Linked DNA regions of Yarrowia lipolytica. The protein of the gene in region 1 purifies or fractionates together with the protein of each later gene. This does not show direct contact. Links are inferred from orthologs where the notes say so. Each region holds a gene or a part of one and is shown on either strand. Other genes may lie near its edges. The genes, in order: YALI1_B29528g, YALI1_F27556g and YALI1_E35815g.

Region 1 (3,762 bases):
TGCTCGTCGAACTCGTCGAGAAAGTCATCGAGGTCATCAAGATCTTCTTCGTGTGACATTGTTTTTGTGGGTGTGAACTGTGTGGGGGTGTGGTTAAGAAGCGAACACGATGGAAATCAAGGTGTTGGTCAACTTAGTTTCTTTCACAAGGTGGGGTGTGCAGGGGGAGTCTATGATCATCAGCCGTCTGAGTGGTTAGATTTGGACCAAGGAGGTGAGACAGGTGTAATTAATGAAGTAGTGGTAATTAATACCACGGAATATTCAATGGAAAATTCTTCCTCCACTTCCTCCTCTTCTGGCTTCTATTTTTTGGCACAAACGTGTGTGTGGGGTACGGGTTAGGGGCGTGGGGCAAGTGTCAGTCAAGCTGTCTCGCTGTAGAAAGAGGGCCCTTGAGTGTGCAAATTTGTGTCTTTGGAACAAGGGGGTCTCGGAATGCAAAGGATCATGAATGAAAAAGATGCTTCAAGAAGGTCTCTTAGTTAGGACAATTTTTTGTACTCGTACTTGTTCCACATCTTCATTAAATGAGCTCTGATAGGTGTAGATCCTTCTGGGAGAGGCTTGACGCTTAGTAATATTGAAAGTCAGTAATCCAGCCAAACCACCAACAAATATCTTGGGCGTAGGTTTTCCGTAGAATATACGCCAAATGAAGTAAATAATTCTATGATTGGACTCTCCCACGTGAATAATAAAAACACCTCACTTCCATACCCACATAGGACTCGAACCGAGTGCTGAAAGTTAGCTACGTTACTATGGAGATAGTCGGCCACAAACAAAACCTCTTTAGGAGACATCATCACATCGCATTCTCCACACACACCACACACAAGACACAACCAGCAAAAATGTCGGAAGACTCGTTGATGCAGAAGCGACTCATGGAAGAGCGGTGAGTTACAAAGACCAATCTTTATTCACCTAGACGCCCCGTTTTAACTAACTCAGGAAAACCTGGCGAAAGTCACATCCGTTTGGCTTCTTTGCTAAGCCCGCCAAGGACCAGAACGGAAACCTGGATCTCACTAACTGGAACGCCGGCATCCCCGGAAAGGAAGGAACCGCCTGGGCCGGTGCCACATACCCCATGCTCATCACCTTCCCCAAAGACTACCCGACCAAACCCCCACGATGCCGATTTGATGCTGGGTTCTATCACCCCAACGTCTACCCCTCGGGCACCGTCTGTCTGTCAATTCTGAACGAGGAGGAGGACTGGCGACCTTCCATCACGCTGTCTGAGATTGTCATGGGTATCCAGGAGCTCATGAACAACCCCAACCCCCACTCTCCCGCCCAGAACGATGCATTTGCCGCCTTCCAGAAGAACAAGGAGGAGTACGATAAGCGGGTGGCCGAGCAGGTCAAAAAGTACGCTGCTTAGAGTGATACTCGGCGTTCGTATTAATGCATTACGCGATGCTGGAGGACTTTAGAACTGGAGTCTTGAAGGAGGATCCAAGGGCCGAGATGAGCTGATCCACCCTCACGCGACTAAACATTAAATATAACATATGTATGCGTGACGCTTGTGGGTCAGCGGTTTTCGCATGTTTTAGTCAATAGATGTATTTTTTTTCTCCCTCCTGTCCAATGTTTGGTGGTTATGACAGCCCCAAAGTTAAGCCATTTTTCATTAGTCAGCTCCATGGGTTCATTTTCGTGGAGCTCTGTAAGCGTGACTCAGTTGACTCAACGTGTGGGCATGGAGGTTGGGTTTATCCGTTGCTTGTCATACAAATTTGAGGATATGGTTTGCTGTTAATGTCGGAAAAATGTGCAGGAACATATATCAAGTACACAGCTATAGCTACACGAGGGGATGTAACCAGGGGGATATGACGGCTTCACTTCATAGTGGACAGAAATACCGCTCAAAAACCCTTTTGCCCCGCCCAACAAGACCCCATGTACCCCCTAAGGCTTGCTAATATTGAGGGTTTCACCTCCGTCTTGGCCCATGCGGGGATTGTTTAACTTCGTTGGGACCTGTCCTAAACATCTATCCATACAATGGTGCCTCGACGAGGAGCCACAATTGGGGCGCCATTGCCCCGTATATTCTCGAGACACGTCAGCAACTACTTTCACTATCGCCAGGGCGACGTGGCGGGCCGCATAAACCTGCTTTCGCTTCCGGGCTTCATTGGACACTACACAAGCCGAGTCAACAGACCCTACAACGAAGACCGCTACAGCGCCTCCGTATTGAAACTACCTCGAGGCAGCACTTTTGCGCCTCGATCTCTGCGAAAGGGCATGTCTGCCGAGCGTCAGGTCTTCAACTTTGCCGTCTACGATGGCCACGGATCCGACGAGTGCTCCGAGTTTCTTAAGGACAAACTGGCCACCTATGTCGAGAAGGCTGACCTCAACGACGCCGACGACATTACCACCAAGTACAAGGAGCGGTTTGGAGGCTACTGGCGCCGATGGAAGCAGATGGACAAATACCGGGGTAGAATGAGCCCCTACGACGACTTCCAGTTACGACTACCGTTGGCGTTCCTGGAGGCCGACTACGATTTTGAAGGTAAAGGAGGAAGTACATGCACATCGGTGTTCTTGTATTGTCGCCATGTGGCCCATTCAGAGGCCGGTCCCCTACCGCCGGGGGCTGAGGATAACATGTTTGACCCAGAGAACGACCTCTCTCTAGTAGTGGCCCATGTCGGAGACACTCGATGCATCATCTGTGATGCCAAAGGAGAGGCCACACCTCTTACCATCGACCACCATCCCAGCGCTCCCACCGAGGCCGATCGTCTGCGTCGATTTGCATCTTCATTCTTCATGGACTCCTTCGGCGAGGAGCGGTTCGGTGTCTTTGCCAACACCCGAGCCTTTGGAGACACACTTATGAAGGCCAAGGGTGTGAGTGCCGAGCCCGACGTGCGAGAGGTTGCACTCCAGGACGAACAGTTCCTGGTGCTGGTTTCCGACGGAGTTTCTGGCGACGTGTCTGATCAAGAGATCGTGGACCTGGTAACCATTACCGCCAACAGTAGCGGTTCTGGACGAGGATCGCCACAGCAGGCTGCCCAGGAGGTGGTTGAGTACGCAGCGGCTTTGGGTGGCTCGGACAATGCCACTTGCATGGTTATCCGTCTAAGAGGATGGGGCAATGGCTCGCAGGTGGACCGAACCGGCGAGCTACGAGAATACCGACTCAAAAATGTCGACTCCCGTGGAAATCGAATGTAGGCATGTATATTTATAAACAGTAACTTTGGCAATGTGACTTGAAGAATGTAGCACGAGTATTCAGTGGATGTGTAGTGTACATACTACCCCCACCGATAAGTTCCACTAATGTTTTACGGTATCAACTAAAAATCTAACTAAAAGTTCAATTACTCTTAGAGCCAAGATGCGAGATTTATTATCCTGGCTCAAAATTCCCATCTTACGTATTGGGTGGAAAAAGTCGCTGTATCTATGGATAGATACAAAGACTTTAGCGTATCACCATGTGAATAGCTACTTGTAGGTGAAGTCAGGTGGCTCTTCAGGCACTGTAAAGCTACAGTACAGTATGTACAGCTTCTGAGGCATGAATCTTGGCTATATACAAATTAGTTCTTGGTCTGTCGGTATCGGAAGGGCTTTCGAGTGTAAGCGTACTCGCCAAGCTTGGTTCCGACCATATCCTGGGTGACGTTGACAGGAACGTACTCCTTACCGTTGTGGACGTGGAAGGTCACACCAACAAACTGGGGGATGATGGTTGCGGCTCGCTTATCGGTCTGGATA
Region 2 (3,691 bases), on another chromosome or scaffold:
CAGATCCCATATCCTTAACGTTGATCTTTCCCACTAAAGACTCGGGAATAGCCTTGTCTTCGCCACTCTCTCTGTTGATGTGCCTTCTATCGGCCTGCACCACAATAGAGGACATCTCCTCGCTGTAGTTAGTAAGTGATCCAGAATGGCGTTTGTCACACAAAGCCGAGTCATATCACACCATCCCCTCTAATACTCACTATTTGTAACGAGACATGTCATTGTTGTTCGACATGATGTGCTTGGTGTCGTGGGTGTTGCGTGAAGGATTTATTTCAGCGTAGATGTGCTTATTTTCTGAACCATATGCATAACAAGATGTTAAAATTGGGTGGTGAGCCCACAGTGCAGCAGGGTCAATTTACAAGTAGAATATACTGCAGATTCTACGACAGATGCTTGTACTAGCCCGAGTGCGTGCCTTCAAAAGGGCAAAAAATGATAAAATAAATGGGATAAATTCTTTCTCACTTACTATTCACCATGTTTCTCTCGCAACATTTTCCACAATCACTTCAAGCTCACCCAATCTATGTACTGTACTCCTGCTTTCTACTCATTCTCAGAAAACGACGGCTCGTACATTAGTAATTACATTCTACTCTACTTAGTTCTTAAAGTAGTAGTCCTCGGAAGGGATTCGGCCTCGGATCACAGGAGGCTCGGTGCCGGGAACGTAGATATCCTCAAACAGAACCTTGGCAGTAGCCTCGGGAGCAGGGTCGGACTCAGCAAGGGCAACCTCCTTGTCAACCATAGCTCGAGCAGCCTTGTCCACAGACTTAAGCTCGTCCTCAGTGGCGAAGTTAAGCTCCAGGATGTGGGCCTTGAGACCAGAAATAGGATCGTTGTGGGATCGCATGTACTGGATCTCCTCTCGGGTTCGGTAGGTGGTTCCGGGATCGGACATGGAGTGACCACCGTATCGGTAGGTCTCGAACTCCATGACGAGGGGACCCTTGCCGTGTGTGGTCCACTCCTTGGCGAACTTGGCTCCCTGGTAGACGGACAGAATGTCCATTCCGTTAACCTTGAGACCGGGAATGTACTGACCTCGCTTGTAGTACTGCGTCAGGGCAGAGGATCGAGCAGCAGCGGTACCCATTCCGTACTTGTTGTTCTCGCATGCAAAGATGCAGGGGAGGTCCCAGAGCTTGGCCATGTTGTAGGCCTCGAAGATCTGACCCTGGTTGGAAGCACCGTCACCGTACAGGGCAAAGGTGGCCTTTCCGGTCTGCTCGAGGTACTTGTGGGCGAAGGCGAGACCAGCTCCGACGGGGACCTGGGCTCCGACAATACCGTTTCCTCCGTAGAAACCCTCGGTGAACATGTGCATGGATCCACCCTTACCGTAGGAGACACCGGTTCGCTTTCCGAGCAGCTCGGCGATGATTGCTCGGACAGAGGCACCTCGCATGTAGGCGAAACCGTGGCATCGGTAGGCGGTGATGACAGAATCGTCGTGGTCGATGGCCTTCTCGATACCGACGGCAACAGCCTCCTGACCAGTAGACAGATGGCAGAAACCTCGGATCTTCTTGGCCTTGTAGAGGGCATCAGCAGCCATCTCGAGTCGTCGGACGGTCACCATGTCCTTGTACATTTGCAGAAGCTCACCCTTGGTCATCTCGAACTCGAGAGGAGGGGGAGAATCAAGCATGTAGGTGGTGTAAGAATCCTCCTTGAGCGTGATTGTGCATTTCTGGGGTTAGTATACGGTCGATTGAAGCTGTTTTGCCACGTTTTGTGATGGATTGCTGGTGGGTGAGGAATAATTTTTCCGGGTGCATGCGTTCCTAGAGGTTCGATTTTCTCTAGGCCCGTTTCTCATTAACAATCTCAGCAGCGTCAACGAGACGCCACCGCCAGGGGTAATGGCATCCGTAGAATCATTTCCGAGGGGTCCCGCGTCGATGGCATGTCTGTGTCGTCCGTTTCGTCGTGTTTCGTGAGGCGTATGTTTCGGAAAAACTCCCTGTAACCCAAATCCACGACACCCCAACGCAATGGGCGAAAAAAATACTCACCTTGTCGGCATCGTCAGCGATGGAGTATGCTCGGACCTGGTGGCCGAGTCGGCTGGTGAGCCGTGTAGATCGTCGAGCGGCAGTGAGCATGGTCAATTGTCTTGTTTTCACACGGACTGGATTGAGAAAAGCGCCACTTGGATGAAGTTGCAGGTTCTATCTGTGTGTTGTCAAGTGAGGAGAGTCAATTTTAGGTCTGCTATGGGCACCACCACAACCCACTAATCGCTCACACCGGAGAAATGTCCCACCAACCTTATTTTTCTGCGCGGATATTGAGTACTGTTGAGCGTGTGGGGGTCTAACAGAGAGAGAGGGAGGGAGGGAGGCTAAGCAAGAGAGTGGTGATAGATGGTACGCATATTGGAGAGAAGTGATGAAAGAGGAGAGCGCACGATACTGTCATAGTTATAATACTATGATTCGGTCTCTCCACTGGGATTTCGCTGAAACCCCTATATTCTCTCTCGCGTTTTTATTTTCACCCAGTAGCCCCAATATACACCTCCTGTCACACATACATCAAACGAGAGGCTCCCATACGGCTGTTGAGCTCGCCGACTGGTTGGTGCATTTCTCGTGGGTGGGGGGCCAACCTGGCTTACTCTATACAGAGATATAGCCCCAATTGAGACCGTGCCTGGGAGCAGTTGACACGGCACAATTTCTCGGATCTGTACTTCCTTGTCAATGCGTTTGAGTCAACAACTTGTGTTTGCTACGATATATATCTATCGGCTATCGACTTACAACAGTTCAGCATTCCGAGTTGGGGCTGAACACAGCTCAGCATTCAGATAGGGTGGGTGCCTTTTCGCTTTGGCTAGTGTCGTCTACAAGTAGTCCGACCAATCACAACATCGTACTTGTATTTTCTTGGATCATTAGTTGAACTGAGAGCCCATTTTCAACCGTTGCTGAGACCTGCTGGTGTGCCCAACAGTTATCTCGGAGGGTGAGCGAGCTCCCAGATTGGCCATTTCGAAAGACTGCCTTGAAGTGCCCAATACGTCAAATTACTCGTACTTGTAGCTTGCATGAACGCATCAATGTGCAGCTCGCTGCATTTGTGGCAAGTAGTCTGGAAAATCTTTTCGTATATCGATACTGTTTTGGGATAATATTGGTTGTCTGTCCATCAGAGCATCTGTCTCTACCCCATTCGCCATGTTCGTACCAGTAGTCTCCGGTGGAAACGGTTTCATCCAGTTCTAAACCCTCCTGTCTAACTCCGACGACGTCAGATTTTTCGCTACAGTAGCTCAAAGAATGCATTCAACAGCTCGCTATTGGTATGTCCGAAATGTACTGGTAGGAAGAGAGAGAAAACTTTAGCCTGGGAAAAACTTCAAGAGCTCCCTGGGATCCTTTAGCGAGGAAAGTATTCGCGACCACAAAAAAAGGTCACCTGACTCTACACCCAAGCCAAGATAGCAGATGGATATTAAAGTGTCAGGATCTACAGGGATACGAGCTGTGAAAATCAGTCTCATCTGAGAATTGTTGTCAGATGTGAATTCATTTTATACAGAGAATGGCTAGACGGATGGACATCTACCTAAGATAGAAGATTATAACATATTGCACGGGATCAATCCTTTCTTGTGGTACTTCCAATACCCCGCGTAACTGTACGGATGCATGGTGTTTGTTGTGGTGGGGCT
Region 3 (3,573 bases), on another chromosome or scaffold:
TCATACACACCACACGCACTCCATACGCAGTACACCGCATTTCCAATGAACGACACAAGACTCTTGTGCACTGATGGTCACGTTCACACTTCGTCCAGAACTATCAACGAGAAATGGCAATGGGTCAGCTTCAGACTCCAGTCTACCTATGATGGTTTTTTTGCCCAAGTGGACTATCCAAAGATCTGGGTTCATGGGTTTTTGTCCTGGATCTACAGAAACACTGTTTCCGCTTACGATACTCTAGACGTGTATTCGGGCATGCTTATGATGGCTGCAGAATCTATGAAGCACGACCTCTTCACGTGTCTGGAGGATGTGTTGGTCGGGTGGGATATCAGAAGTGGCTCTGAAGCAATTCTCATCTGGGAGCGGGCTTCCATAGCGTCATCGGCTCGAGTTCAGAACTACATCGTTGAGTACGTCAAGGCAGACCCTCTTCTTGTGTTTGCAGATTCGGGCTTCTACAGCTTACCTTCCGAAATGAGAAGCCTGCTGTGCAAACGGGTCAGCGATAGTCGTAAGATCAAGACCCAGCGGTCCGTATATCTCAAAAGCGAGGATTCAGACGATGAAAGCACCGAGGCTCTCGAGGCTCTCACTCTCGACGGCCTCACAGCCACTCCATATGGGTCTCATCGTGGTGCTTCTACCATGTCTGTTGTCAGAATCCCCAAATCCAACTTAGCCGGAAACAAAACTTCGGGGACAGGCAACCCAGCGAAAGCCAGTCACAAGAAGAACATGTCGGTACCAACAAACCCTGCTCCGAGCTTGTGAACACGGGAAGTGTGGAATCTCCCGTTCACCTCCTACTATTTGTAGCAAACTGCAAAGTGGTGCCCGAGGAGAATGTGAGGAAGATTCGACAAGAGTTGAAGATTAGAGCGGAGATCGTGGAGGCAGCCGAGAAGGGAACGAGGGCATTAGAAGATGCAAAGGCTAGGGTAGAGGGCGAGCTTGAGCGGTTAAATGCTACAACATATTTATTCAGTAATAATACCTATTTCATAGCACAACTAACGCGTAGTATAGGTGACTGTAAGTGGCGGTGATAGAAGACGTAGACAACAAACTTCGAAGAAATTTAGCCTCCTGCTAAGCCGAGGTTGTTCCTGAACGACAGGACAGAACGGGAAATTCTGACAATATATCGTGTATGATAAGTTGCTAATCATTTACACAGACCATTATTTACTTCGGGTGTATCAAACAAACAGTCATTGACAGCTCCCATGCGATGGCCAACACTACAAGTATATCGCTCCACAATTTTCCCATCCCTCGTGTTGAACCTTGGACCCAGCAAAGTTGGGATGCCTCTAAGATGCTGCTACCAGAGGTTAACTGATTCCATGGCCGCACATGGTGACGTCATCAACGAGGAAAAGTCGATATTCTCGAATTGGAAAGTTGATAAGTCAACCAACCATACTATTAAATCATTTTAATCGTTCTCCAAAACCTCACATAAATGCCCCAAACGCCCCATGAAGCTCTCCAGCCCCCAACAACTCACCCTAACCCAAAGCATAATTGGTAGCAAGTGTGACCAATCTCTCCACATTATGGCCTATCTCAATCTTCACACATCACTATACATTTGTCACCACATATTGGGATCATACAAAAAAAATGGAAATCGCACAGAAAGCCCACCTCGCCGCCACGGTGCTGAAAACCGTGTCCAACGATGACCGAACTGCCACCCTCAAAATGGTCCACGATGCTCTTCGAGAGGCCAAGGACGAGGTCATTGCTGCCAATGTCAAGGATCTCGATGCTGCTAAATCCGCCAACCTGTCTCCTTCTCTCATCAAGCGACTCGATCTGTCCACCGGCGACAAGTACGACTCCATGCTGCAGGGTATTCTCGATGTCGCCTCTCTCGACGATCCCGTTGGAAAGGTGACTCTCGCCCGAAAGCTGGACGACAACCTTGAGCTGTACCGACTCACCTGTCCCGTTGGAGTCCTACTCGTCATCTTCGAGGCCCGACCTGAGGTCATTGCCAACATCACTGCTCTTGCTATTAAGTCTGGTAACGCTGCCATCCTCAAGGGAGGTAAGGAGTCTCTGCACTCTTTCACCGCCATTGCCAAGGCCGTCACCAAGGCACTGGAAAAGTCCAAGGTTCCCCCCGGAGCCATCCAGCTCATTGCCACCCGGGACGAGGTCTCCTCTCTCCTGTCCCAGGATCAGTACATTGACCTGGTCATCCCCCGAGGCTCCAACGAGCTCGTCAAACACATCAAGGACAACACCAAGATCCCCGTCATGGGCCACGCCGACGGTATCTGCGCCATTTACGTCGACCAGGACGCCAATGCCAAGATGGCTGCCGATATCGTTGTCGATGCCAAGACTAACTACCCCGCTGGATGCAATTCCGTCGAGACTCTGCTGATCAACGAGAAGGTCATCTCCGACAAGTGGCCCACCGTTGCCTCTGCTCTCGTGGACGCCAACGTCGAGATTCGAGCCACCCCCGAGCTCATTGAAGCTCTTCCCGCTGACCTCAAGTCCCACTGCAAGACTGCCACTGAGGAGGACTTCAAGACCGAATTCCTGGCCCACATCATCGCCGCCAAGTCCGTGCCCACCGTCGAGGACGCCATGGCCCACATCAACTCCCACGGCTCGTCACACACTGACTGTATTATTACCGACAACGAAACTACCGCAGGCAAGTTCCTCAAGGGTATCGACTCTGCTGGAGTCTACTGGAACGCCTCCACTCGATTCGCTGACGGTTTCCGATACGGATTCGGCACTGAGGTCGGTGTTTCTACCAACAAGATCCACGCCCGAGGCCCCGTTGGACTCGAAGGTCTGGTAAACTACCAGTACATTCTCAAGGGTAACGGCCAGATTGCCGCCTCCTACCTAGGAGCTGGTGGTGACAAGCCTTTCAAGCATGAGGACCTTCCTCTTGAGAACTAGACGGACAAGTCTTGGATCACATAGAAAATGACATGGAGTATGATGGGGTTTGATATTTGACTACAGTACATTCCATACATACCAGTACATACCGTACATTGTGAAGTACGTACCGGTGTACTTCTACTATTGTAGCCACTGTACGATTGTGTCAGTAGTGTCTGGCTTACTCAACTAATAGGTGTATAAACCAAAAAATACCAGCCTCAATTGAAAAAAAATTACAACACCCAGGATTCTCGTATGGTCTCCCACTATAATACTAACTAGGCTCTCTGGTGCTTGACTATGGCTGATCGGACGGGAAGCCGTATTTTCACCAAGATATGGTCGTAACCGAAACTCCGCAACGGAGAATTGAACTCCGGTCCCCCGCGTGCTGGTATATACCTGACAGGCGGAAATTCTAGCCACTAAACTATTGCGGATATGTCTGTGTAACGGATCGGTGATGGGTCAATCCTCAAGATATCCCTAGGTACGAGCAGGAACCGCTCGTCCTACTCTACAGAACAGTACACCAATAGTACGAGCTCCGGAAGTCGTATAAACATAACTTAACTTACATATATTGTGAGTGGTGGCTATATATACGGCATCTTCAACCCTAAACTCTGTAAAGCACGTCAC

What was found.
Region 2: the proteins of YALI1_B29528g (region 1) and YALI1_F27556g purify together in Saccharomyces cerevisiae (affinity purification with mass spectrometry; 3 studies listed by BioGRID, with this or other methods). This does not show direct contact. The link is inferred for Yarrowia lipolytica from reciprocal best matches to the Saccharomyces cerevisiae genes PTC6 and PDA1.
Region 3: the proteins of YALI1_B29528g (region 1) and YALI1_E35815g purify together in Saccharomyces cerevisiae (affinity purification with mass spectrometry; 6 studies listed by BioGRID). This does not show direct contact. The link is inferred for Yarrowia lipolytica from reciprocal best matches to the Saccharomyces cerevisiae genes PTC6 and PRO2.

The regions. Positions count from the first base shown.
Region 1 is NC_090771.1:2,951,113-2,954,874, reverse strand, and holds YALI1_B29528g (uncharacterized protein), read left to right. Parts: upstream 1-2,022; coding exon 2,023-3,213; downstream 3,214-3,762. Other genes in the region: YALI1_B29548g (uncharacterized protein), read right to left, coding at 1-59; YALI1_B29539g (uncharacterized protein), read left to right, coding at 858-901, 958-1,393; YALI1_B29507g (mitochondrial 37S ribosomal protein uS19m), read right to left, coding at 3,585-3,762.
Region 2 is NC_090775.1:2,754,041-2,757,731, reverse strand, and holds YALI1_F27556g (uncharacterized protein), read right to left. Parts: upstream 2,118-3,691; coding exon 2,028-2,117; intron 1,703-2,027; coding exon 608-1,702; downstream 1-607. Other genes in the region: YALI1_F27574g (uncharacterized protein), read right to left, coding at 1-122, 201-235. UniProt on the Saccharomyces cerevisiae protein: The pyruvate dehydrogenase complex catalyzes the overall conversion of pyruvate to acetyl-CoA and CO(2).
Region 3 is NC_090774.1:3,579,569-3,583,141, reverse strand, and holds YALI1_E35815g (uncharacterized protein), read left to right. Parts: upstream 1-1,635; coding exon 1,636-2,943; downstream 2,944-3,573. Other genes in the region: YALI1_E35831g (uncharacterized protein), read left to right, coding at 46-780. UniProt on the Saccharomyces cerevisiae protein: Catalyzes the NADPH dependent reduction of L-gamma-glutamyl 5-phosphate into L-glutamate 5-semialdehyde and phosphate. The product spontaneously undergoes cyclization to form 1-pyrroline-5-carboxylate.